3 linked regions of the Drosophila melanogaster genome follow. The protein of the gene in region 1 interacts with the protein of each later gene in a pairwise test. Each region holds a gene or a part of one and is shown in the gene's direction. Other genes may lie near its edges.

Region 1 (8,024 bases):
ATATCCCTAACTCTCATGGGATCAAAGGGACCGAACCGCTCGAGCACCTCTGGTATTCCAATGTTCAACTGATCAAGAAGCTTCTGAATGCTATTCGTAGAGCACTTGGTGAAGCCCGGTTCGTAGATCCGACAAGATGGCAGAAAGGCAGCTGAGCAACACGATTTGCTAACATTGAAAAGAACTGCGACTCTGAGGACATCTACTTACGTTTTTCGGAGTAGTAGGCAACGGCTGAAACCAACGACCTATCCATGGCGATTTCATTCAGGCACAAAATGGCCAATAATCCACTCCAAATGCCGAGCAAAGTGCGGCCGTAGCGCGTGCTGCTCATGGTGTCGTTTTGGCAACTGTTTATTAATCAAGTAGTTAAGTATCTAAGTAGCTCAGCGAATAGTACTGTAGACGTATCGCGGTCTAGGCAGCCGCTGCTCAGTCACATCAAACAGTGTCACGCTTTGAAACCGACTAGCCGGCGACTTGCTGTGATCCGGCGTTTTATTCTCAACTGCCAAGATTCGAGATTTGGGTTCTCATATATGGTAACGACTTACAGCAACCTAACGATGCCGGGGCCAAGAGCAACTCATGTTGCTGAATATAATATCATTTTAATTCACCTATTTCCTGACTTAATAGCGAGTATACAGTGAGAAAAGTATCTAAAGATGAAAATATAATAGAAGCACTTTGAATGCAAAGATATGAAAATAATTTGTAATATAATTCTAATACAGTGCCACCAAAAAATAAATCAAGCATACACTACTACCCATTTAATACAAAACGACAGAGCACACGAACCCATTAAAATAACATAGAAGTACCGGATTATATGCTAATTTAGCATTTAGTGAAAGTCTTTAATCAAATAGGTAGCTGGTACATAGACAAAGGTCTTCTTGAACCGATCCAAAAGCACTCCGCCAACTGTTTGCTCCACCGCCGGACGCAGTACCTCAAAGAAGTCGCGCCAGTTTTCGTTGAACAAAATGTGTGCAGTATCCTCCAGATCCTTGTTGCCGCCAAAGAGATTTTCCAGCTTGATGCGGAATTGCTTGATCTCGCGGAAATTTACCTTTACACTTTGCACATCAGCGAAATAACCATCTGAGGTGGCCAGCGGTTTGACAGCCAATTCCAACAATAACAGAGCATTTTCTGAATAAAACCGGCTTTAAGATAGTAATTCGCATAAATTGTAGATTGCATCTTACCAGCTTCGAAGTATCCCTTGCCATGACCATTGAGATTCAGCGCTGAGACGTGTCCTTTGACTTTGTAATCGAAATTGAAACGCAACTTGGGCACGGAAATCAAAGTCCTGGCTACATAGTGATTTGGATCCCAGCTGAGAATTTTTAATGGTCAAACTTGATTTCGTCAGAATCTTTAAATAGGTTACCTGGATTCCAAGACTAATGCTTGACCAGCACCTGCTACATAGACTTCCTTCAGATCGGCATTGATAGCTATAGACCTGCTGGCATCCTGGGTAAATTTCACTCTCTTGATGTAAAAAGGATCAAAGGATCCCACGGCATTGTAGCCGGGAATTCCGTCCTTCCACTGACGGAAGAAACTCTGGAAGTTTTTGGTCAGACAGACATTAAAGTTGGGATCGCCCACGATACATGGGATTAGGAAGTCGGCTGAAAGTTGTACATTTAAGAATATTATTAACTTAACTCAACCAAAATATGTTGTATTAAATGTTTATTACGTTTCTCTGCCAGATATTTAGCTCCTTCGACTGCTGAAAGGAGTACGGCTACAATACTCAGGAACTTGGCAACTTTAATAAGCATCTTGATAATTTTATTCCAAAATGTGATGACTAGAACCGTTTTCTTTGAATGCTCTGATTGAAATGACGATTCTGTCTGGCCGCCGGTAATTTTATTCGAAATGGACCGCTCGAATGTATAACTTTTAAAATCATTTCTTTGTTTTGCCGATTTATATATATTTATTTTATTTATTTCGGTACAATTAGTAAGTAAACGAGTTTGGCCGCATTAGACTTGTTGTGGTCGTACAGGGTGCCCAAATCTTTCGATTCATCTGATGCGATACCCTAGCTCGAAAATGCATTAATTTTTATAATATTACTTAGCCTTTGCCTCGCCGGCGACTCCATTTCCAGTTGTAAAGTACTGTCATAATACATATATCTAGATACTTAGACATATATTCTATTCTATATATTCTATCTCACTTTCGCTGGAGCCGAACTGGTTCTACAAGATCATTAAGATGCGACGACTGTAATGCTGACGGATTTATTTAGTTTAGTAGATCTCTCTTAAGAATATATATTCCAATTAATTATAGGCGACAATTCTAGCAAACTATCTTTGCATATATGCATACTCAAGTGAGGAAAAGAAGCCAAGCGAATGTATTTATCTGCATGCAACCATGACCAAGGTCTGCGGTTCTTGGGTTAACGAACTTGTGGTTTTGACATAAGTACCTACACAGAAAACAACTAATTATGAATTATGTATCATGGGAATTTTCTTATTTTAAATACGCATACATTTTTATTCTTTGCCACAGTGAGACCTGAAAATCTGTGGTTCTGCATTATTATTTGATGAATATGCTATATGACTTGTTATTTGGTGTATTTTGCACAGTGTAGAATGTGATTTCAGATAGATGAATGCAAATCCCCCGAAATAAATGGAATAAATTCAGTATTATAATGTAGGTTGACAACTGTGTTTGTTTTGAATGTGGCTTGGGGATTTTGGCAATTTATTTTATATAAATTGGATCCTACTTAACTGGTTGTTTGTGAAATAAAAAGAAAACATCATATAAACTAATTTAAATTCTAGAAATCTCCAGAGATCTAGTCAAACCATCACATTTTTTTCTGCCTATCTATGACGTAATTTCAGCAACCTGTTTCTTTAGCCAAAGCATTGACTAGGTCAGTATGCCAGCATATAAGTTTTTGTATTGCTTTCTTTTCCTAGCTTCAAGTGTGAGTTTTGACAGGCTAAGAGAAATGGCTAAATAAGCTGTCAAATTGCATGTTGTGGATGCAGATTGCCATTGGCCAGTGCACTTAACTGGGAGCAAGGTGTTTGGACAGGTATTTGCAATCGATTAGCAGGTGGGGGGGAATTGACTTGCATAATTGGAATGCTTAGCAAGTGCAACACTTCCGCACCTCGCAGTACTGGCATTTTATTCTTTTCTGGATTGTAGATTTCAGTGATGCCAAAGGTACTTTTTAATTGTGTCTATGAAATAAACTTTAAAGATAACTAACACCTGATAAATCGATGTGAATTGTAAAAGTTTTTAGATGGCACTTGAAAACTATTTTACATCGCACTTTGTACCTCAAACTAGAGTGTGCCAATATGAGTAGGATATGGAGTGTAAGTGTACCAAGTGTACCTAGTTCTCATCACTGTTGCTGCTCTGATCTCATTGCGTATGCGTGAGTGTTGCGGTCTGGAAGCATAAATTGCTGGCCAAGAATTCGAGTAGACGACATTAACAACCTGATTGGAAATTGCTGCGCGTCGGCTTGCTGCTGGTAAGTGAATTACCTGTAGAGGTGAGTGAGTGGGCATATCGATCGGACGTAAGTACAGCTGGCCGACGACCGCTTTCGATTTCTATGCTGCATTCCAAGCCAAGTCGAATCGGTTCTCGGATCGGATCGGGAGCTCGGGCCTCGGTTAACGTATTCGTTTTCGTTTTCTGATCGCAGCTGATCGCCAGATCCAGAGACTTCGGCTTGAAGCTTTAGTTTCTGCCATGGTTTTTTCCCCTCTTGGCCCGCTTTTGCGAAATGTTGACTGCGGTATAAAAAGCGTTGCACGCCCTGATTTTCTTTTGAGTTTGTCGTTTCGATTCGCAGAGTCTCGAGTGCAAGTGCAGAACACATTTTCCATTTTCGCAGTGCATAACTACTTTGGGAGATTGGTGAAAACGGTTCGACATTGACAATTGGTTCTAAGCTTGGCAGCATGTTGAAATTGGTAAGATTCAGCAAGGTGGTTTATAGTGTTACATCTCCAAAGCTCGATATTCATATCGGTATGCAAAAGGTGTTTTCAGAATATGCGCAGTGAATTTTTAGAATGCAATTTAGCCAACCGGTTTGATCAGATCGGTGTCTATGATAAAGAGTAACTTAATTGGTGGTTCATTACTCAGCCATGTCCTTGAGTGAATGTTTGTGAACTGATAATCAGAGCAGCTAATTAAGGTATTTAGCCAAAAGTAAGGCAATAAAGGCAAAGTTCATGTATAATTGCTGACTTTACAGATGGGTGTGACCGAAATGGTGATTTAATGATACAAACGATTTGAGTCACTTTTTCACTCAACTCTTTGTTTTTCAATTTGCAGACCTTGAGCTTGGGTCTTCTGCTTCTGGCGGCCCACAGTGCGTATGCGCAACACCAGGACTACACCACACCGGTGCCCATTCTCAAGCAGATCGACAAGCACAACGACGATGGTTCCTACACATATGGATACGAAGCGGCCGATAAGAGCTTCAAGATCGAAACCAAGTACGCGAATGGAGAGGTCTATGGAAAGTACGGTTATGTGGATGACCAGGGAAAAGTGCGGGAAATAGAGTATGGAGCCAGTAAGCGTGGCTTTGAGCCCGCTGGCAGTCACATCAATGTGCCACCACCTACGCTGACCAACAGCAATCCCTATCCATTGGGACCCAACGAATTGGACGATGGCCAGTATCGTGAGGACCCCTCGGTGTACTACAAGGACCAGAAGTTCAATCGCCCCCTTTCACCGGCCAGTAAATTCAGTCTGAACGATTTCGGCCGCGGCCAGCAGCAGGCGTATGCCCCGCCACCTCGGCAGCCCGCCCCACAAACGCCCTACTACAATCCCACACCCCAATACTACAATCCCCCGGCTCCGCAGCCCCGTTACTACCAGCCTCCGGCCCAGAACTACTATAATCCCCAGCAGCAACAGCCATACAGGGGGTTGCCGGAGCAACATCATCCCTCCCTGCGAAATCTCAACCTCTACACCGGTTCCTATAGCATCGACTATACGGGCCGGAAGTAGGAAGGAGGACCTTTTGATGGGGGGATCACCTCTGAGTTGGGCCAGAGAGTCAGGGACTGAAGTGTCCGAGGACAATGTCAACTTGTTACTGCCAAATAAATCAGTCACTCCGCACACCCCACACATGTATCTATTACTGTACCTGTTTATATATGTTCTTGAATGTGTGTAATAAATCGAGTTTTGAAACCTGAAGCGTTTACAGAGAAAACGAAAGTGTTCTGAAATCATTAAATGTTTTGGTAATTGCTATGAAAATCAAAGGCAATTAGGGTGTTAAAGACAACTAGTAAACATTCAATCAATTTACGCTACCCTTTTCGCTGTCATTTACTGCTAAGTAATTATTCTCAGTGCTCAGAAGTATTTGAAATATCTGCTTTGGCATTCAATTTAGCCAACTACCAGGTTCCGCTTCAATTAAGCCGCCCCACAGCAGAAATTGTAGCAAAATCCAGCCGATTGAAATAAAGGCAAAGAGCCCAGCAAGTGGCCAATAATCGTTAGGCCATTACGTCAACACAGAATGATCGAGCCAAAACAACAAAAAACTACAAAAAAAAGGCAAGCATTGTGGCCGATTCAGATTGAAAACCAAAGTGGATTTGCTGTTGACTGGAATTTGGTGCACTTATGCAATGTGCTGGCCCCAAACCACTTTCAAATGCACTGCCACCAACGGCCGACCAGTTGGCCATAAGCTGTTGGCCATAAGTATGGTCTATGGTCTATGGTCTATGTACTTGGTGCTGGGTGGTGGCTCAACTGCCTTTGTCTTTTGGGTGTGGGGACTGCAGGTACTGGAAGAAGTGGCTTGAAGCTTGTTGGATAATTGGAAGTCACCCACGGATCAATGGCCAAACAATGAGCTTAAATCAGTGTGGTACTTAACTTTTCGTTAGCTTAAATAAGCTATTAATTAGGTAATTTAATTGAATTTGACTCAAATTTTCTGAAGGTTTTTCATTTTATTAAAACGGATGATTAGCAATTTATATATATGGTTACAGCAAACCCACAAAGTAGCTAATAAAGTAGCTGTTAAATAACTAAGAGCTATTCCCCGTTTAACTTTAAAGCCACTATTTATAGTTTGTCATATACATTCGGTTGTGTGAGCTATTCAAGTTCCTTTCCACTGTGCCAGTTGGCCAAGTCAGAAATTCAAAGCGTTTTGCTGGCGGCACCAACGAAGAATCAAGTCCAGACTGCACCTCTTAAAAAGCAGTGCACAAGCACACATTACAGGCTCTGAATTATTTGTATATGTATATATTTTCAGCATTTATATAATTCCGCAGAGCAAAACAGCGAAACTGGTCTGCTGCTGCTGGGGCGTTGGCATGACTCAAGAATTTCCTGCAAAACTGTCTACTTTGCCATGGCTGACTAGCGAACAGCTGCTACACTTACCACATTTTTTTGCAGCACCATTTTCTGAGGTGGCAAAAAGCCGTAGGTATGGAATTGTTATGATTCCCATTCAAAAATGCGTTGGCTGAGATGCCTCCGCGTTGGTCGAGTGTCGCATTGAAAATATGCTACTCCTTTGGCCCTGCATTCAATTGTATTGAATAGTTGGCTATCAATGGGGGAAATGTACAATTGTAAGCTGGAAATAAATGAATGAAATGCCAAGATTCAAGGAAGCATACCTAAAAAGATACCTTTAGCTCTATTGTGAAACCATTTCTAAAATTAAATTATGGTGCTTCAAATTTAAATACCGAATTTTTAAAAACATTCTCTTAAGTTTGTTGTTATATTCCGAAATATTTTTAGCGAACTCTTTCGACCTTGATCGTGGCAGTGCGTCTACGCATGCTCACAAGTTAAGGTGCACGCCCATTTGCCCCCCAGCCCGCTGCCCACGAACAAAAGCCGGACACAAACTAGTCTTTAAAATGATATACTCAGCACAAAAAAAAAAAAAAAAAAAGCAACTGACAAGCGAAATAACAATCGCACGCACTTGAAGACTGGAAACCGCCCTGCGTCATGGGCGGCACTTGAAGGAGGCATAAAGATACAGAAGGGGGGCGAAACTGGGGGGCAGGCAATCGTTGACGGTTTCCTGACAATGTGGCAATGTGGTGCAGTGGCCGACCAGTTTTTCAGCTGAACTATCGCCATTCCGCTGCGGGTTGCATTGCTGCCTGGTTCGTGTGGTTGTTCAGTTAAAACGGAGTGCTACCCGTGGTGTGTCATTAATTCCATCAGAACTACTCCCGCAAGGCCATTCCGAGTGGTTGTGGAAAAGTGGAGGCGAAGGAGTGGGGTGCAGCTAACACTCTGGAAAGTGACACGTTGCCTAGTTCTGGTTGTGATTCAGACATCAAGCATACGCACTGTTGAACCACCGAGAACAACATGGAAATAAATAAGATATTTCTTCGCTGGTTGGTTTGTGAACTATTCGGGTATCTTTTATCTTTTATATTCCTTTGAAGCACTAGATGCACTAGTATTTCTTAAATTCGAACTGTAGAGGATGTCAATTATGACAGTTTGAACATAATTGTATATAATTTATAGGCAAACCAGTTTTAAAGGGCTAGCAAACTATGCTTGCCAACTTTGCTTCATATTTTAGCAATTTATGGGCCTTACAGTTTTGATTAATTATCGTGGATGGCCACATCTCATTGAGGTTAGTTGCCATAGCGCACCGAAGGTCGCAGTTAGAGGTAGGACTACGACCACCCTGATTTCGTAAGCGATTTGTTAAATTTATTAAATTGTTTTGTATTACTTAACGACAACAAGTGGGTGACTTAATTCGTTGAGCTGTGGGGTCAGAAAAACTCTGGAAATTGGCAAATCAAGCAAAATGGAATTCTTTGAAACCGTTGGGCGAAGTTTAAACTTTAAAAAGGAACATTTCTTCTGAGTTACATTCTTTTGGCGTAAAATAATGTAATACATATGAAATGAAGTATATTTTA
Region 2 (7,732 bases), on another chromosome or scaffold:
TGCAGCTGCTGCCCCGTCATATGGCAGGTACAAGCTCCACTTTGGGTCACCACCTCATCATTCTCCGGCCGCCGTTTATGGAGCTCCCCCTCCTGTAGCATTTAGCACTCAGGGCTGGTAACTCGAGAAGCGCCAGCTGGGCTCTGGCTCATCATGCATAACTATGAATGATAATTTCCTCAAATTAGCAATTAATTAAATCTAAATAATGTTGTTATGTTTCGTATTATACGCGACTGGTGAATTTATGCGAAGAACGCGAAGCGTAGCGATTAAATTATGCTTATGTCAATACCCATAAATAATTCAGATGTTTTCATGGCTCGAAGTTATTTTTTGGCTCAGCCAATTTTGGCCAAAGGCGAGGCTTGACTTTGAGAGGGCCCAGAAAAATGAATAAATAATATAAATTTGCCGCTATTAAAGCTATGACTACGGATCAACTGACCTAAGTCAATGAATGAAAGAGGGAAATAGCGGAGCCATCCGTCAATTGGGTCAACAGTTTAAACTTTAAAGAGCCTTTGAGTTCACAGATAGACAGCTTGATTACACTACAAATATTGTTATTAAACAAATAAATCAAGTAAATTGTGTATTTCCGTATTTAAGTTTGAATACTAATATATTTGGGTGGCGGCTTAACATTTAGATTTAATGTTTAAGAAGACAGAACTGTATTTGTCCACTTTTTGGATATTAATTGGATCTTGTTATCTTGAATTAGAATACATAAGTATTTTCTTAGATACCTACATCTATAAGTCAATAAATCAAGCTATTACACTATAAACAGCACATTAGCTAAATTACTAGAAGTACAAGAACGCTATAGTCGAGTTCTTCGACTATAAGATACCCACTACTCATCTAGTGGGCGAACGAAATAGAAATTTTAACATTTTCTGTTGGCAAATCAATGTTAGTAAAATGAAAAAAAAAAAATGAATAAGTAAGTTTCTGGGTGTAATATTAAATTAATATATCTGAATTTTAAATAAAAACAGGAAAAGTTCCTCCCTTTTCTTTCAGTGTAAACCTCATTCGGATCCGCATTTATTGTGAGTGTATTTTACTATCTAAAGGTCTACGAGTAACGGGTATAATAATAATAAATTTGTATTTAACATTAATTCCGATAGTGAAAAGTGGCTCCCCATTTCTTTCAGTGTAAATTAAATTCGGATGCGCATAGATTGTGATTCCGTTCCACCATCTGAGGTCAATCTGCGATGAGAGACAAGAGACACGCAGCGAAAGAGCGGCAATCAAACGCCGAGATACGGACAACAATCTGGTGCTTAGCATGCAAATCTCGCACCGATCCGCCAAAGTCCTCCGTTTTGGCCTGGGCTAATGGCTATGGTTTTTATGTGTGTGCGACTTAACTAGCTCCTGTCACATGACGCTCGATTCGATTTGTGTTTAATAAGCTCAAATGCTGTCGACATGCCTGAGGTATGCAGAAAAGCTGAGAACAGTGGTGGTGGAGTGGGGGTATTTACAAAACCAAATCGTCTAGTTCCCCCCTCTGGTTGTGACCATAGGGCTCCACTGCTAATTGTGTGTAGTTGCATAGCTTGGATGCCAATAAAAATGACCAACATTGATTTATATGCAAGGCAGCCAAATATCAATATTATCAATAGATGAAACTGTCCGGCAACCGCTTTGTTAAGCCACCAGAAATAAACAAAGTAAATAAACAAAGGCAGCTACAAATGCCAAAAAAGCTTCGTCTTGGCCTGCACTCAAAGTGTTGGCCCAAAGCCGTTCACCAAGAGCCAAAAGAAGACCTGAACAGAGTGGGACAGAGAGAGAGAGAATGAGAGAGAGAGAGAGAGAGAGGGGTCTGAGAACCGATCGCAGCTCCTCCATACGCATATAAAAAGCATCTTCAGCTGGCTCACAAATTTTAATCAGCTGCCAAAGCTGCGCCAGCGCACATCAACGATTATAAGATTCGGCAAAAATATTGGCCTTTAAACTGCATTTACCCCAAGAACTGGAACCCAAAGAAAAGTGAAGTGAAATGGCGCCCAATGTGAGAGCAATATCTAGTGTGTGAAGAGCTATCAAGGTTTAACCCTATCAAATCACTTTCAGTTGACTTGTGTATGGATTACTCTGCTGCAACTCATGAGCTTGGCTCTGGCCGATGTCTCACACCTGGATTACTCGATAGCACCCAGCACCCAGCTGGGTTACTATCACTATCCCGCTCCCAACAGGCCAGCCGTGCAGCGGAGCCAGAGGAACCAGTACCAACAGAACCAGCAGTATCCCCAAGTGGCACGACAGTTTGCCGAGCCCGCCTTGGAGCATGCCGCCTTCACCCAGGCTCTGACCAGCCAGGGTTACGTATTTGGAGCACCGTCGTCTGCCCTCCAGGTGGCTCCCCCGGCACCACAGCCCCAGCAGGTGGCCAGAGTATCATCTGCTGCGGGATCGGCCACAGGTCGTTCCATATCCTCCGCTTCCGTGGATGCCAACTCGCTGAATCTCAAGCTGCCAGTGCCCTTTGGCATTGCTCCACTGAATGTGGCGCAACTTCCGCTGCAGGCTGGGGCACCATATGCCAGTGTGCCCAGAACCACGGGGCTAACCTCCTATGGAACACCGCAGATCCAGAGGCGCTAGTCCAGCAATCCTAGCCCATAGAATAGCAATAGCAATACATTTAATAGAGCCAGAGCCATCCCGACTGATCATCAAACTGCGATGACTTCTGCTCTTAGTGAATACACATTGATAATAAACTTGCCATCTAAGCTTAGCCTTTCGGTTGAGTCTCTTTTTATTGGCCATTTTTAGTCTCATTGCCATCGATGGAGACTGCATTTGCATAATGTTTTGAAGGTTAATACGCGGGCACACACAAAAAAAAAAGAGGTCTTCGTCCATTGGATTTACACCTTTCACTCTCCTACGATGGGTTAATGGTTGCTATTTACATACACACAAATCGGGCCAAGAGATCTCCATCTCCATCCGCGCCTCATAATGAGACCTCAAACTTGGCATTGGCATTCGGAATTCTCTTGTGAAAACAAAAGAAATCGAGACAACGACTAACTTTTGACGTATATTTATGAAAGCCAATTAAAGTCAAGTGTCATTGATCAGATCTGGGAACGGAACTGGGAACTGGGATCTGGATCTATCTATATATCTAGACATATTTATGCCTGCCGTATAGAACCTGCTTCCCGCGAAAACAAAAACGGGAATTAGAAATATGGTCTGCATAAATTTGGGGCTTAAAAATCAATTAAAGCAAACGGTACTGACGACAGCCAAACAATTCCTAAGAGGGATAAAGCTTCTGATGAGCCTCTAAATCAGATTGCAAATAAATTTAAAAGGTTAACTAGGAAGTGAGCGGATCGCACAGCTGTGAAGTGGAGTGCTGAAGACAAGAAGTTGATGGCGATGGTCTATGAAGATGAAGATGAAGATGGTTAAAGATGTACTCATTTCCGTGCTTGAGTCACCGGAAAATTGGCGCGTCATCGGTTGAGAATTCCTGTCCAGAAATTGTGAACAAGTGAACGAGAAGAGGTCACCCTTGGAGTTGGAATGTACTAGCTGTGGTTGCTGCCAAGATTGGATCAATCCGATCAAAAGTGGCCACAATGCGGATACAGAATACAGAATATATGGAAAAGTATACAGTTACATGCGTGGGGCAACTTGATCACCAGATATCATTTATATACATATATATATATCGCCCTCTCGACTCGTCATCGCGACAACCTTGAGACCGGCGTCATCATCGTATCGGATTTCAGAAGCAGCTATAAAATAACGACCATTTAGATACTCTATACGATTTGTTAGTAAGCGGTATGAGTATAATATTTTGTGACTGTACTACAGAAAAACTTCGATTTTTCATAAACTCGCTCTTTGAAATCATGCTCCTAATGGGTTGTTCTACCAAGTCATTGACACTAAAATATGCTAATTTACAAACATTCATAAGTAGCAAAAGTACCCGATCATAAAGAGTAAAACAATGCAAATCGCAGACACCAAGCCATCAGATGACGACGATGCTGCTGACCAGGCCAGCACGTGACCGAGAGAGACCGAGAGAGATGGCTCATTAAGTCAGCTAGCAAGCAGGTTTCGACTGCTCGATCATTCGGCCCCGCGCCTTGTTGGCCAATTAAGCTGAAGCGAATTGATGAGACCCACTGGATGAGGATGAGGGTGCATCACATCCTGTGGCCAGGTGGCGTCAAGGTCAGGTCAACACGAAAACAAATGAAGACCCGTCGGCTAGGATGAGAGGGAAATTTACGACCGCCTTTTATTGGCGTCTCTGCAAGCCATTAAAAAGTGAACTAATGAGACACTTAGTGGGCCGGAATCGTGGCCTTTGAGGAAGGGGTACCATTTTTATGGCCAATTTGACTTAGATTGCGGCCAATTCAATGCGAAGCGGCGCACATTGATGGCCCAAACAGACTGCAAATTACGACAAGACAGCCCGGCCACCGAGTCAGTCTTCAATTGCATACAAATGTCGATCACTGCACTTGGAAAAATTTTTATAAAGACTATAACTTGGTATGCTATACAAAAAGTTTACCTCTGCATGTAAATACACTGCACTAAATAGTTAAGGTTAAAAATTTTAAATAAAATATTTATACATTGAAATCAGAATTATATCATATCTTTTCTTATAATATTTACCAAAGCTCAAATATTTTTCCAAGTGCAACCGAAATATTCAAGCGACAACTTGGACAACTTCCGACAGTCCATTGGGCAATTGAAGGCGGAGCACGTCTTGGCCAAATGGCGATCATGTATGCTACTTGGCACTCGACCAGGTGGGCCAGCTAATGAAGAAGCGACCAAAAATCGGCTCAGACAGAATGTCCCCCAAAGAGCACGGATATGGGCACGAGCTATATAAGCCACTGGTCTGGCTCCAAATGAACATTATCGCTCAAGTGCTTTAGACAAACCCAACCACAGCAATATGTACAAGTTTGTAAGTGATCCTATGGGGATTAGCGCCCAAACAATGTGGACTAAGAGGTGGTTAATGATTACCTATCCTATTTTCCAGTTGGTTCTCGCTGCCCTCATCGCCTGCTCTGCGGCCAAACCAGGAGTTGTAGCTCCACTGGCTGCTCCTCTGGCTGCTCCCCTGGCCTACGCTAATGCTCCTCTGTACGCCGCAGGTGGCAGCAGCCAGGTGGATGTCCGCAACAACTACGACGGCACCCTGTCCTCCTACACCACCGCTCCGTTCGAGTTCGCCGGCCCCTACTCCAGCCGCTATGTGTCCGGAATCCCAGCTGCCCCCGCCGTGGTGGCCAAGTACGCTGCTGCTCCTCTGGCCGCCGCCTACTCTGCTCCTCTGGCTGCTCCCGTCGCTGCTCCTCTGGCCGCTGCTCCCGTTGCTGCTCCTCTGGCCGCTGCTCCCTATGCCGCCGCTGCCTACTCCGCCTATCCCTATGCCTCGCCCTACGCTGCACCCTACCTGGCATCTCCCTACGCCGCTCCCTACGCTGCATCCTATGCTGCTCCCATCGCCGCTGCTGCTCCAGCTCCAGTGGTGGTCTAAGGACACACCTGTGAAGCAGGCCAAACTATAGGAAATTTTTGATAAACAAAAAAAAAAACTGATAATAAATTACGAACCAACAATTAGAGCGCACCATCTTATTATTTGCAGAAATGCCTTGAATAATTAACGAAAAACGAAAGTACTATTATTTATCGGATATTTTTGGTTCATGAAAATTCAATTGGACGCTCATTTCGATTGGGTCAATATATATATATTTCTTAAGAAAATATAAAATAACTTCTTTACTTAACTATGATCAATTTTTGATTAGATGATTCCTTTTGTGCAAGTGGTTTTATTAAGCATCCATATATTTCCAGATTTCAGATAGAGGAAGTTATTTAATTTTTTTTTAGAAACTTTAGAACTTTCCATTTAATGCTCTGAATTTCTCGTTTCTCACTCATTTCTTTGATATGCAAAATAAGCTTGTTTATTGGTGGATATCATTTAATACAAATTATGCATAAATTATAGGTCTGCATTTAATTTTTAATGGAATTTTTTCTAACAGCTGCATTGAATTTTAAAGATAATATTGACAAAGTAGCAACATACATAAGTTAGGGACTTAGGGAAGTTAAAGTCAGACAACTTGGTCACCATGTAAACAATATTTGTTGTGATTGCGTTGTCACCTAAGGCGCAATATCGATTGTTATTTATGGTCAAAGCAATATTTATGGATTATCATAATCATATTCCACTCATGGGCAACTGTCAATGCCTGGGCTTGGTTGGCCCCATGTTATATAATCATGGGCCGTGCTTTCGAATCGCCCAAGAAGTTATTGGCCCCTCGATCGAAGGCAGTGCCATTCGCAGTCGCCGTCTCAGTCACGACTTGCTGACCAACTAAATGGGATTGGGTTGCCTCCCTCCAAATGATGCAACCCATTAAGTTAGGTGAGTGGGCCAAGTCGTCGTCGAAAGTGAAGAAATGCAAGTGCAAGTCTTTTGATTGCGTACCGCCTTCAATTCGCTATAAATATTAATTTAATTTGACAATGCAAAGACATTAGCAGCCGAACCAACAGGTCGAGCACATCGATCGAGAAGCTACTGCCCCAAAGAAACCGAACTTCAAATCCCCCAAGCAAGATGTGGCAACTGACATGGGTAAGGACTGCAAAGTTCTTTTGACCAAAGATATTAATAGGTAACCTAAATATTTTTAGGCCTTTGCATTGGCTTTCCTGCTGGTGGGTGGTGAGGCAAAGCCCTCTCATCTTCACTACAATCACTTCGATCCCCACCATGTCAACCACTTTGACGGACATCATCTGAGCCACTTGGATTCTCTGCATGCTCTGCCGCACCACTTGGATTACGCGGTGCAGGAATCGGTCCTTCCTCCGCCAGCTCCTTTGCTTCCTGCGGTGGCTCCACCACCAGCATTTGCTCCACCACAACCTGTATTTGCTCCAGCGCCTCTCTTACCTGCTCTTGCACCATTTTTACCGGCTCCTGCTCCTCTTCTGCCCGCTCCTGCACCACTTCTACCAGCACCTGCACCACTTCTACCAGCTCCAGCTTTTCTGCCAGCTCCTACTCCTCTTTTGCCCGAGTTCCATGTGCCCAGTGTCACCCATCAAGTGCTGCCGCCCGTCCTGGAGGCGGTGCCCTTTGCACCCACCTACCGTGCCATTCCCGGACCGAAGACCACCACCCACCGCGTGTCCATTGGCTACGCCTTTCCCAAGCTGCTGGCCACGCCCCACGCCCATCTGAAAGCCCTGCCCCTGAAGTTCGCTCATCACCATCACCACTCGCTGTGGTGATCATCCCGACCTTACGGATGATGAAAACCTCACCAAAGAGTAATTAGTGTCAGATAGGATATGTAAAGCTTAAATCTACAAGTCTACCTGCATTATACAATAATTTATCGAATAAATATAGTGAAATAAAAAACGAAACAAATAAAATTCATGCATTATACAATAATATATCGAATAAATATAGTCAAATAAAATGAATTATAAATCAAATTACATTTATACTCAATTTAAGGCTCTGTTAACCTTAGAATTCAATCATTGCGTTCTTAAGCAAAATATATGAAAATATATTCAGTATTCCCGCACATTCTTACCAATTATTTCCAAAAATAGAAATCCCAGAGAATGTAACTGC
Region 3 (9,082 bases), on another chromosome or scaffold:
TGCCCTGCTGCTGAAGATCATTGGACAACAGTTGAATGCAATTGAAATATGGAAATATCATCCCGGATTAACAGTTGATTTTATGCTTAATTTGGAGCAAAAGATGTCGGAAAACTATGCTGACCTAGCCAAGGTATTCTCCGAACATGGGTTTATGGAGGCAGAATTCTGGCTTACGGCTTTCTACCTCCACCCCACATCATCAAATTATAACGAAGTGAGGCGCTGTTCGCGTATTAAGAAAAAACGGCAGGAGGACGACTTGCTACCTGCTACGACACCACAGAACGTCAAGTACGAACTGCTGAGCTCCACCATCGATGTGGACGAGATTGTAAAAATAACGAACCATTACGATCCAGTGGCCGACTACGATCCGATACACAAATCGCTGCAGGCGTTGCGGCTTCCCCGCAGCATGATCCAAGACCTTCTGACCGTGGTCTTCCAACCACGGAATAAACGATACTCATGGGCTCTCGATTGGCACACGCTACACGAGCGTTGCCATGCCCTTCTCAAAAGCCCGGACCTCAAGAGAAAATTTGTGTCTCTTAACATGGCCGAAGCTGGCGACGATTTGAAGTACCTCCAGATCGACTATGCCAAATACAGGGATCGCCCTCAGTTGGACTATGGCACCATAGAAGAGGGCTACGAAAATGCGGTTAATCTCCCAGAGGCTGAGGAAGAAGCTGAACAAACGTCAGCAGTGGATGATGAAGCAGAGAAAGCCAAGGAGCAGAAAAAGCGGCGACCCGCAAAACGCAAATTTTGGGACGAAGGTTAGCAACAAAATCGTTTTCTTTTGAGCCACTTCCTTTCATAATAACTAATAATTCAGTCATACTAATAATTTCAATTTAAAATCCCACAGTAGTATTTTCGGAAGACGAGGAGGAGGCTGCCTCAAGCGATTCGGAGCCCTACTACACAGGAAATGGCCGCCGGACTCGGGTTAGGGCGGCAGCCATGGTAGCCAATGCCATGTTGTCTGACATGGATCGAAGTGTGCGCGGTGGGCGACGATCGAGCTCTCCAGAGACATCACATCACCAATTTCATACGCAGCCCGTCGTCGAGGAGCAGCCAAAAATCGCAGTCCAGCCTCCAAAACAACTGTGTCTACAAGAAACATCTGCGCGTGTCGAAAAGCGTACGATTAGCGAACTGATGGAGTCACGACCCAAATTTACCAACGAAACCGTCGGTTTTAAGCCGATCGCCGACATATGGAGTTTCAAGAAGGAAGAGCTGCAGAATGTGGTAGAAGACAGCAGCAGCATGATAGAGTGCAGCTCGATATTAAACAAATTCAAAATCTTGAAGGCCCTCAAAATGGCCAAAGCTGCAAAAGCCGCCGTGCAGCCATGTTCCCAGCTTGTTCAAAATATCGTTCGCACGGGATCGGAAACTGAAAGCGTAAACTCAGAAACTTCCACGATGGCTACCCACGACTTCAACGAGGAGGAGGTCAGCGAAGGTTCTACCGGTGTAAGTAAAGAGCTAACACCTTCGCCGACCACAAAGTCTGATTTAACCATGGACCCAGAAGTGTTGCAGCCCACTGGTGAGACCAAGACGCATTTGATCCATGGGAGCCTAGAAACTACAAAAGTGCCACAGAAGACTCCGGAGTTTCTGTTTTTGACCAAGGAGCCCGTGAGAACTGGACAACAGACCCAGGAGCCACTGGGAGATGCCTTAAAAACTAGTGACCTAAAACAGGTCATCCCAAATGGACTGTTCAAAGTAGAGGGACTGGAAGCGAGACAGGCGGCCGAAAAGCCAAAACAAACTGGACAACCGCAACGGGATCTACCGAATACAAGAAAACAAAAAGATAAGCTTATCCACATGCAGCGCTTAGGGAATGCTCAGCTGCCTAATGAAATGTCAACGCCATCAGAAACCGGGACAGAAACCGACACCGCGGAGGAGACCCTTCTGTGGGATGGCAGTGATGAGAACCCTAAGAACAAGTGCTTACAATTTGACTCAGTGAACAACGAATCCAATTCCAGATCTGCAAACGATATTAAGGAAATGGAGACAAATCGTCAAATCAACGAATGCCTGACGCGTTCTTCCCAGGTGTGCTTAACCAGATTGACACCACGAGACATAGAAAAACTCAGGGGAGTAAGAGTTCGTGTTAAGCGAACTAATATGGCAAATTTCTATAACGACCAGACACGTCGCAGCCAAAGAAGGCTCACAGCGAGTCTTAACGGTCAGAGCCGCTCCCACACCGAGGACAGCAATGGATCTTCAAACAGCTACAACTACCGCCAATATGATAGGCGCCGCTTCAAGAAGTTTGTGCACATCACATCGGACTCGCCAGCACCTTCGGAATCGTCCACGCCATCGCCGCGCATGATAGCCAAGCCGGTCTTCAAGCACATTACATCCGATTCCTCGACAGATCTCGAGGAAGTGACTCGGTCTGTTTCTGCGATTAGAAGACGTGGACGTGACCGTGGACGCAGTGGGCCCAAGTGTATAACAGAACCAAATGTGCGACGATCGCCTTCCTTTCAGCCGGATGTGATCGAGTTGTCCTCGGACTCTCTTTCGTCCAACTCACCAATTCCAGCCGCAAACCCCCCCATGAATAACTTTACACATGCAATGGATATGGATCCGCTTTACGAGGAGGCCATCATTCCATTCTAACACGCTGTTGACAAGTCGAGCCTGCTACCGAGCCAGAGGCGATGTTCTACGTGCCCGAAACGAATGCTGGCGAAGGGATGTTCGTTGGTTGCGCAGCAGAGGAAGGGAGCAAGGAAGATGAAGTGTATAGCTGGGAAAATCGAATTCGTCTCGGTTGTTAGAATGCAATTAGCCTGGGGCACACTTGGTATTTGCTTTGGCTACCAAAACGCCAGGATTTTGATGAAATTATTTACGTGTACATCTGTTTGACCAAGTTTCCGGCTCCGGCATTGTATTTCGGTTTTTATTTGGACTGTAACGCCGCCCGAGGGCCTTTAAAAAAGGACTCTCATCGAGTCCAGGACAACACTCAATGGAAAAAGCAAACGCATCCGCACTTCAATTAACTGCCTAATTGATGTGCATTGTGGCTCTAAAAAACCAAATTAGCTACACGCGGCGGAGAAGCTTTGTAACATGGATGACGACGACGGCGACACGTGGCTGCTGGTGTGAATTTAAGTGGCATATATGGGATAGATTTTCTTCTCATGTAAGAAACATTGTTAGTAGTACTTAGCTCTTATAAAGATATTGATACAAACTACCATTAATATTCTGTTTAAAACTTCAATATAAATATATTTATATATATTTATATATATAAATATATTTATATATATATAAATATATTTTATAAGTTACGAAAACACTCATTGTACTGATCATACAAGAAAACTGATTAAAAAATAAATAAATAAGTATACCATTAAGTATTTGTTTATTTATATAAAACTATCTTGGTTTTGAAATCTATAAGGAAATTAATCAAACATCAGCTCTACTTAGTACATTTTTCATAACATACTTAGCTACCTTATAAAGCACTATTAAAGAAAAAATTGATGGTGTCACAATTACTGAAGCAAGGTTTATATTTTTTCAACAAAAGCACTCAATTCATTTCCATTAGGAGGAACTGCCTGAAATGTGGCATATTACTAAATTAGCCCCCTCGACACTCAAGTTCTCACTCGTGCTGGTAATTTGCGGCAATTGCCGCATATCATAACAAATCCGCACGTGGCACCCGTCGCCCACTTGAAATTGCAACTCCGATCCTCCTTTAACAGGATTGCCACAGATAGGAATCCCACATCGGCACACTTTGCCACTTGAGCAGCCGTTAAGACCGCGGCACGTGGCAACGCCTGGGTTTTCTACCAGGAGGATGGAGTCCTGTGGGAGTGAGAGCTTTCCGTTGAATACACATGTTGCTTTTGGTAAGTGGAGGCGGCATCCTGGCCACGTGCCACTAACCCGTTTAGCGACAGGCGTAAGCCCTAAACGATTATTGCGGTTTAGTTGCGAAAGGCGAAAGAGTTGATGGTAATTGAATCTTTTGAATTGCAATCGCATTATTTCGATGTGGCGATAAAACAAAATAACAATTTATTTAGTCCACGAAGCACACATACTCTATATATGTAGGAAAGGGTAAGAAATCTTTTAGTACGGAAATGGATTAAATCTCGTCCGAAAATTATACCTACACCGAAAATATAACAAAGTCGTAATGATCCGAAGATATCATATTAAACAAAAGTATTCCCTATTTCAAATAATTTTTGGATTTATCCTTAAACTAAGTGATTTTTACAAAATATATAATAATATAATATTTCTTCTTTTAATTTAACTATAATATAAAGCATATCTTAAATTGACCAACAATACTACTCATTCATTAATATAAATATAATTAAGTTTAAGCTGTGCAGTAAGCACATTGTATTTAAATAACCCTAGAGGAAGGGTATGACTATAGAGACGAGCTTTGATGATGCCGTTGGCGACACCGCTGATCCTCGGACGCAGACATCCTTCCGATTGGCCTAGAGAGCACCGCTCGCAGCGAAGCGTGAAAAATGCTCGTATTTTGACTGGTAGCGGCGGCCCGCAGAACGAATCTCCATCTCCAGGAAGTTCACCCCGCTGCAGGCAGTTCTAGCTAGACGACGTTGGTGTGTGAGTTGGCAAAAGCCACCCCCGGGCGGCAATCACGGCGCATATCTGTTGGGATTTGTGTCGGGGTTCTGTGCTCTCTACTTTGCGCTATGGCGCCGCCACGACCGACGACAATGCGCCGAGGGTTGATGCCTGTTAGTCCGGACCCAAATCAGCGGGCTTAATGGCTGGCCGGGCACATAAAACCGGTGCGCACTCCTCGCCAGCTTTTAGTTGGTGCGGGCACGCGAGACGCGAAGAAACAACTCTCTCAAAGCGGAAATCGTAAATCGGAAATGTGCTAAAGGATATACACACCGTGATACAGATACGAGATCATGGCCGCCTGCTACAATGCCTATAGCGCTGGATCACAGTCCTTCGAGTTCGACGAGGACGACGACGACGCCTCCTTCGACAGTGGCTACGAGAAGAGTTTCGAGACGGAGGCCCAGTTGAGCTCACGACGCCGCTTGGACTTTGGCACTCCGCCGACTCCGGCGATCCCGCAACCGTACTCCGGCGGCACCTGGGACGCCGTACCGCTCAGCTCACCGCCGGCGGGCTTCGTGGGATTGCTCGATACGAGCAGCAATCACAGCACTCGGAGCGGCAGGACACTGGTCGAACATCTGAACAGTCGGGCCACGAATGGCGTCTTCGATCCGCCATTGACCAGTACGCCGGTGAAGTCGCCAGAGGATCCCAATGCGCCGCGACCGAAACGCAAATATGCCGTCGGCAAGAACAGAGTAACTCGCTCGCGCAGTCCAACCCAAGTGGTGAAGATCAAGCGTTTCCGCCGCATGAAGGCCAATGACCGGGAGCGGAATCGGATGCATAACTTGAATGATGCCCTGGAGAAACTACGCGTCACTCTGCCCTCGCTTCCCGAGGAGACGAAGCTGACGAAGATCGAGATTCTGCGATTTGCGCACAACTACATCTTTGCCCTGGAGCAGGTGCTGGAAAGCGGAGGTTCAATCAACCTGGATCTGGAGAAGCTGCAGAACTTCACGCTGAGTGGTGAGAGGATTACCAAGGAGCTCTTCGATGCTCTTTTCGTGAATCCACAGCCGTATCCCTTGTTCGGACGAATGTTCCCCTATGGACAGGGAATGGCGCCTCTTGCACAGCACCAGACTGCTCCAGCATCGCACGCGGAGCAGCCGCCGGCGATGGGTGGCTTTCAGCACGGCATGGACTATCCGCAGCAGCCACCAGGATTCGACTTTACAGGCAGCATGCGGTTTTACCACCAACAGCAACAGCAGCCGCATCAGCCTCACCATCTGCAGCCTAATCCCCAGCAGGAGTCCAGCCCGCAGCAGTTCTCGCAGGAGAAATACGATCTGTTCAGGGGATCCTTCGATGCAGCTGCCAATCTTCATTCTACGAACTTGGATTCTGGGATTCACCAGCAGAGCAGCTTCTACTCGCAAACACCGCCATGGAAGGACTATCCGGAGGATCAGGCACACGTGCATCCCGTTCCACATCAACACAGCTACAAAAACTTCGCCCCGCAGGTGTAGCACAGTTTTGTGGGCCAAACTACGATCTTAGGGTTTTCAGCGTGATATACTAAAAGATTGCCGGAAATTGCAGGAAACTGATCAAGGGGAATTCCTCTAAGCGATTTGCCCTTGACTTACTTTAAAAACATAACTAAAGTAACTTATGGGTCCTATCTCGGGATTTCCCTTCCTTACTTTTCTCAACTTTCCTGCAATCCGTTGATATTGGTAATAAGCGAGGCACCTAATTGACTGCTAAGATTATCATCAAGTTTGAAAATGAAATATCTTTAAAAATTGTATATTTCACACTTGCGCTAATCTTTGAACTCAATTAGTTTCATGTTATAGAGGGATCCTCAATAGATTAACCAATTTAAAGTCAAACATCCAAAGTTAAGCTTCACGAACTCATTATTAATTCATATGAATTCCCATTATATTTGTATTCATTGGCTTCCTTCTTGCGGATCTCTGGTGAATATTTGAATTAAAAGTGCTTAGGGTAATCAATTTTCCAAAAAGCACTCTTCTTCTCAACATATTCGCATTCTTCTTGACTATATAGTACAAATCGGTTGTCCATTTAGTGTAAGCGATACGTACCTTGCCATTCTAGATTTAAGACCTATCTATAAGGATTCTTAAAATGAACCAGGTATTAGCCATAATTAACTGTACAATCGATTAAGTGTATGTAGGTTATGCCAGATTCTATATCAGTTATTGCAATGCAAGGAAAGCGAGCTAGTCAGGGCCAGAACTTTAAGGTGATAAGATTGAATTTCGATGTAAAACCATAAAGATTTATTTTTGCAAATAAAGTTGACGATCAAAACGAGCCAGAAAATGGTTTTGCGAGTGGGAAGAATGGACGAACTCCTGGACAAAGTCAAAAATAGTAGCCAAAGCAAACAACCCTGGAATCAGTGTACCGCTGTGTGCGGATTTCAGGTCCCAAACAAAGGACTTAAATTCAAATAAATATTGTATATTGCAGGGCACATAAAACGAATGGCTTTGTGTGTGTGCACTGCAGCTTGTTCTTATCGTAGGGGGCACTTTTCGCCCTTACAATTCGACATGGGGTGAGTTCAAGTAGAAACCGAACTCGAACTCCCGGCTCGGCCTTCATAGCTCGAACAATGGAAGATTGCCGTCACCTGCCACACAATTACAAAACGAATGTACCAACAGCAGCAGTCAGGACCAAACAGGGAATCCTGAAACATGAGCTGTGAGCCAGTGGACCTGCATGAATGCCACTCAAATTATTTAGTTGAATGAACCGAACCGGCAAGAGTCGAGGGAAATGCTTTACTGCTTTACTGCCTAACTGGGTAACAACTGACTGACTGACGTTTTCCGTTACGAGAAAAGGGTAAAAAGGTGGTAAAGATGCTGGAAAGCCGGTGAGGAATTCGCAATCTCAACTGAAGATTACAATAAGACAGTCTTATCCGTTAATAGAGCTGTCATACTGCAAAGCCTTACATTCAAAGGTTTTAAAGTTTTAAAAAAAGGCGTAGGTTTGCCTAATGCAACGTAAATTGAATATTGGGAAAGCAGGATATCTTTATCAGCAACTTGTATGATTTAATTTCAAATATCAACTACTAACCACCACTTTTAACAAAAAGATTTAAAATTACATATTATTCGTATGCATACTCCATTAGAATTTATATTCATCATTCAAATATCTTAGAAATAATTTTAGGTCTAGCCATCCTGAGCATTCAACTATGTTTAAGTTAACTAGATATATTTGCTGTCGGTAAAAGATTCGCTCATGGTTAGTTATTGGGGTTATAAGCGGGAATTCGTCAGTTTTTCCACAACTAAGCCGGCGTTTGTCATTTGAGCAGCTTTGTTGGAGGTGTCGGGATTTATCTTTGCAATAATCATTATTATAGACCGGCATGGGTCCTGGGTTCTTTGGTCCTGTTGTGCTGCAAAGGCGCAAATACGCAGCGGGTGAGCCAGCTAAGCTGCATTCAATTTCTGGGACCCACTCGCCTCTCCTCGAGGGTTGAGGATGAGGATGAAACCTGGCCCGGATGGGACTCGCATCATTAGCGGACGGGGTGGCTGCGTTTCGATGGCTATCGGCGGATCAATGACGACATCTATGCCCTGACTCCCTTGCCCGAATGCTAATGCACTGCGAGGCTGGAAAAACAATTTGGCGATGGCCATAAGGCGATAAGGCAACCAAAATGGAAACAAATTGCCATGGACATGCTAAAAGGCGCAAACACAATGGATTGGCATCTTCGGCTGCGGCAAGTGCAGGTCCTTGGAGAGCGATTCATATGCGGTCCGATGAGATTGCACAAAGGACTTCGGCTGGGTCGACTAATGGCGGAGGGTTCGACTTGCAGATACCTAACCAAATCAAATTTCTGTGTAAATATACAGGGATTAGTCCACACGGAGAAAACACAAGGGGCCATTTCATACTCTTCCCTATCAAACCGAACACGGAAATAAGGCTGCTTTCTTTGAAGTTTATTTTATCAATTTATAGTATAGATTTATTATTATTTTCCATCAACTTGTATTTTAGATTAACTCAAGCATGAAGAAAAGTAGGTTTAACTGAGGACTCTTCTTTTTTTGTAAAAGATGGATAAATTATCAAGCCATTTGTTTAAAAATTTATTTTATTTGAGTACATGAATTAAGGTAATGTGAAATTTTTATGTGCATTGTCGTTCCTTTTGGTGTTCTAAAACCTTATTTTTGGTTACTCTCAAAGACTTGATGAGAGTCAGAGTTCAACCCTTGGAATGGAAAGCATGAAATATTAAGATCATATATCACACCGTTCCTGACGACACAGCTCCAATTTGTACTTGCCCTTTTGCGATTCCCATTTCGCAAATCGAATTTTA

Evidence for each region.
Region 2: the proteins of Cpr97Eb (region 1) and CG13047 interact in a two-hybrid assay, tested with the Drosophila melanogaster proteins (one large-scale study listed by BioGRID).
Region 3: the proteins of Cpr97Eb (region 1) and tap interact in a two-hybrid assay, tested with the Drosophila melanogaster proteins (one large-scale study listed by BioGRID).

The regions. Positions count from the first base shown.
Region 1 is NT_033777.3:27,086,966-27,094,989, reverse strand, and holds Cpr97Eb (cuticular protein 97Eb), read left to right. Parts: upstream 1-3,859; 5' UTR 3,860-3,998; coding exon 3,999-4,010; intron 4,011-4,383; coding exon 4,384-5,079; 3' UTR 5,080-5,286; downstream 5,287-8,024. Other genes in the region: CG14259 (uncharacterized protein), read right to left, coding at 1-151, 211-337; CG14258 (uncharacterized protein), read right to left, coding at 854-1,164, 1,221-1,354, 1,409-1,655, 1,727-1,811.
Region 2 is NT_037436.4:16,282,623-16,290,354, reverse strand, and holds CG13047 (uncharacterized protein), read left to right. Parts: upstream 1-4,958; 5' UTR 4,959-4,999; coding exon 5,000-5,011; intron 5,012-5,089; coding exon 5,090-5,590; 3' UTR 5,591-5,675; downstream 5,676-7,732. Other genes in the region: CG13045 (uncharacterized protein), read left to right, coding at 1-121; CG13046 (uncharacterized protein), read left to right, coding at 2,033-2,044, 2,107-2,640; CG13048 (uncharacterized protein), read left to right, coding at 6,698-6,715, 6,775-7,377.
Region 3 is NT_037436.4:17,354,787-17,363,868, forward strand, and holds tap (target of poxn), read left to right. Parts: upstream 1-4,895; 5' UTR 4,896-5,006; coding exon 5,007-6,203; 3' UTR 6,204-7,025; downstream 7,026-9,082. Other genes in the region: CG7692 (uncharacterized protein), read left to right, coding at 1-785, 878-2,679. UniProt on the Drosophila melanogaster protein: May play a role in the specification of the sugar-sensitive adult gustatory neuron and affect the response to sugar and salt. Regulated by POXN.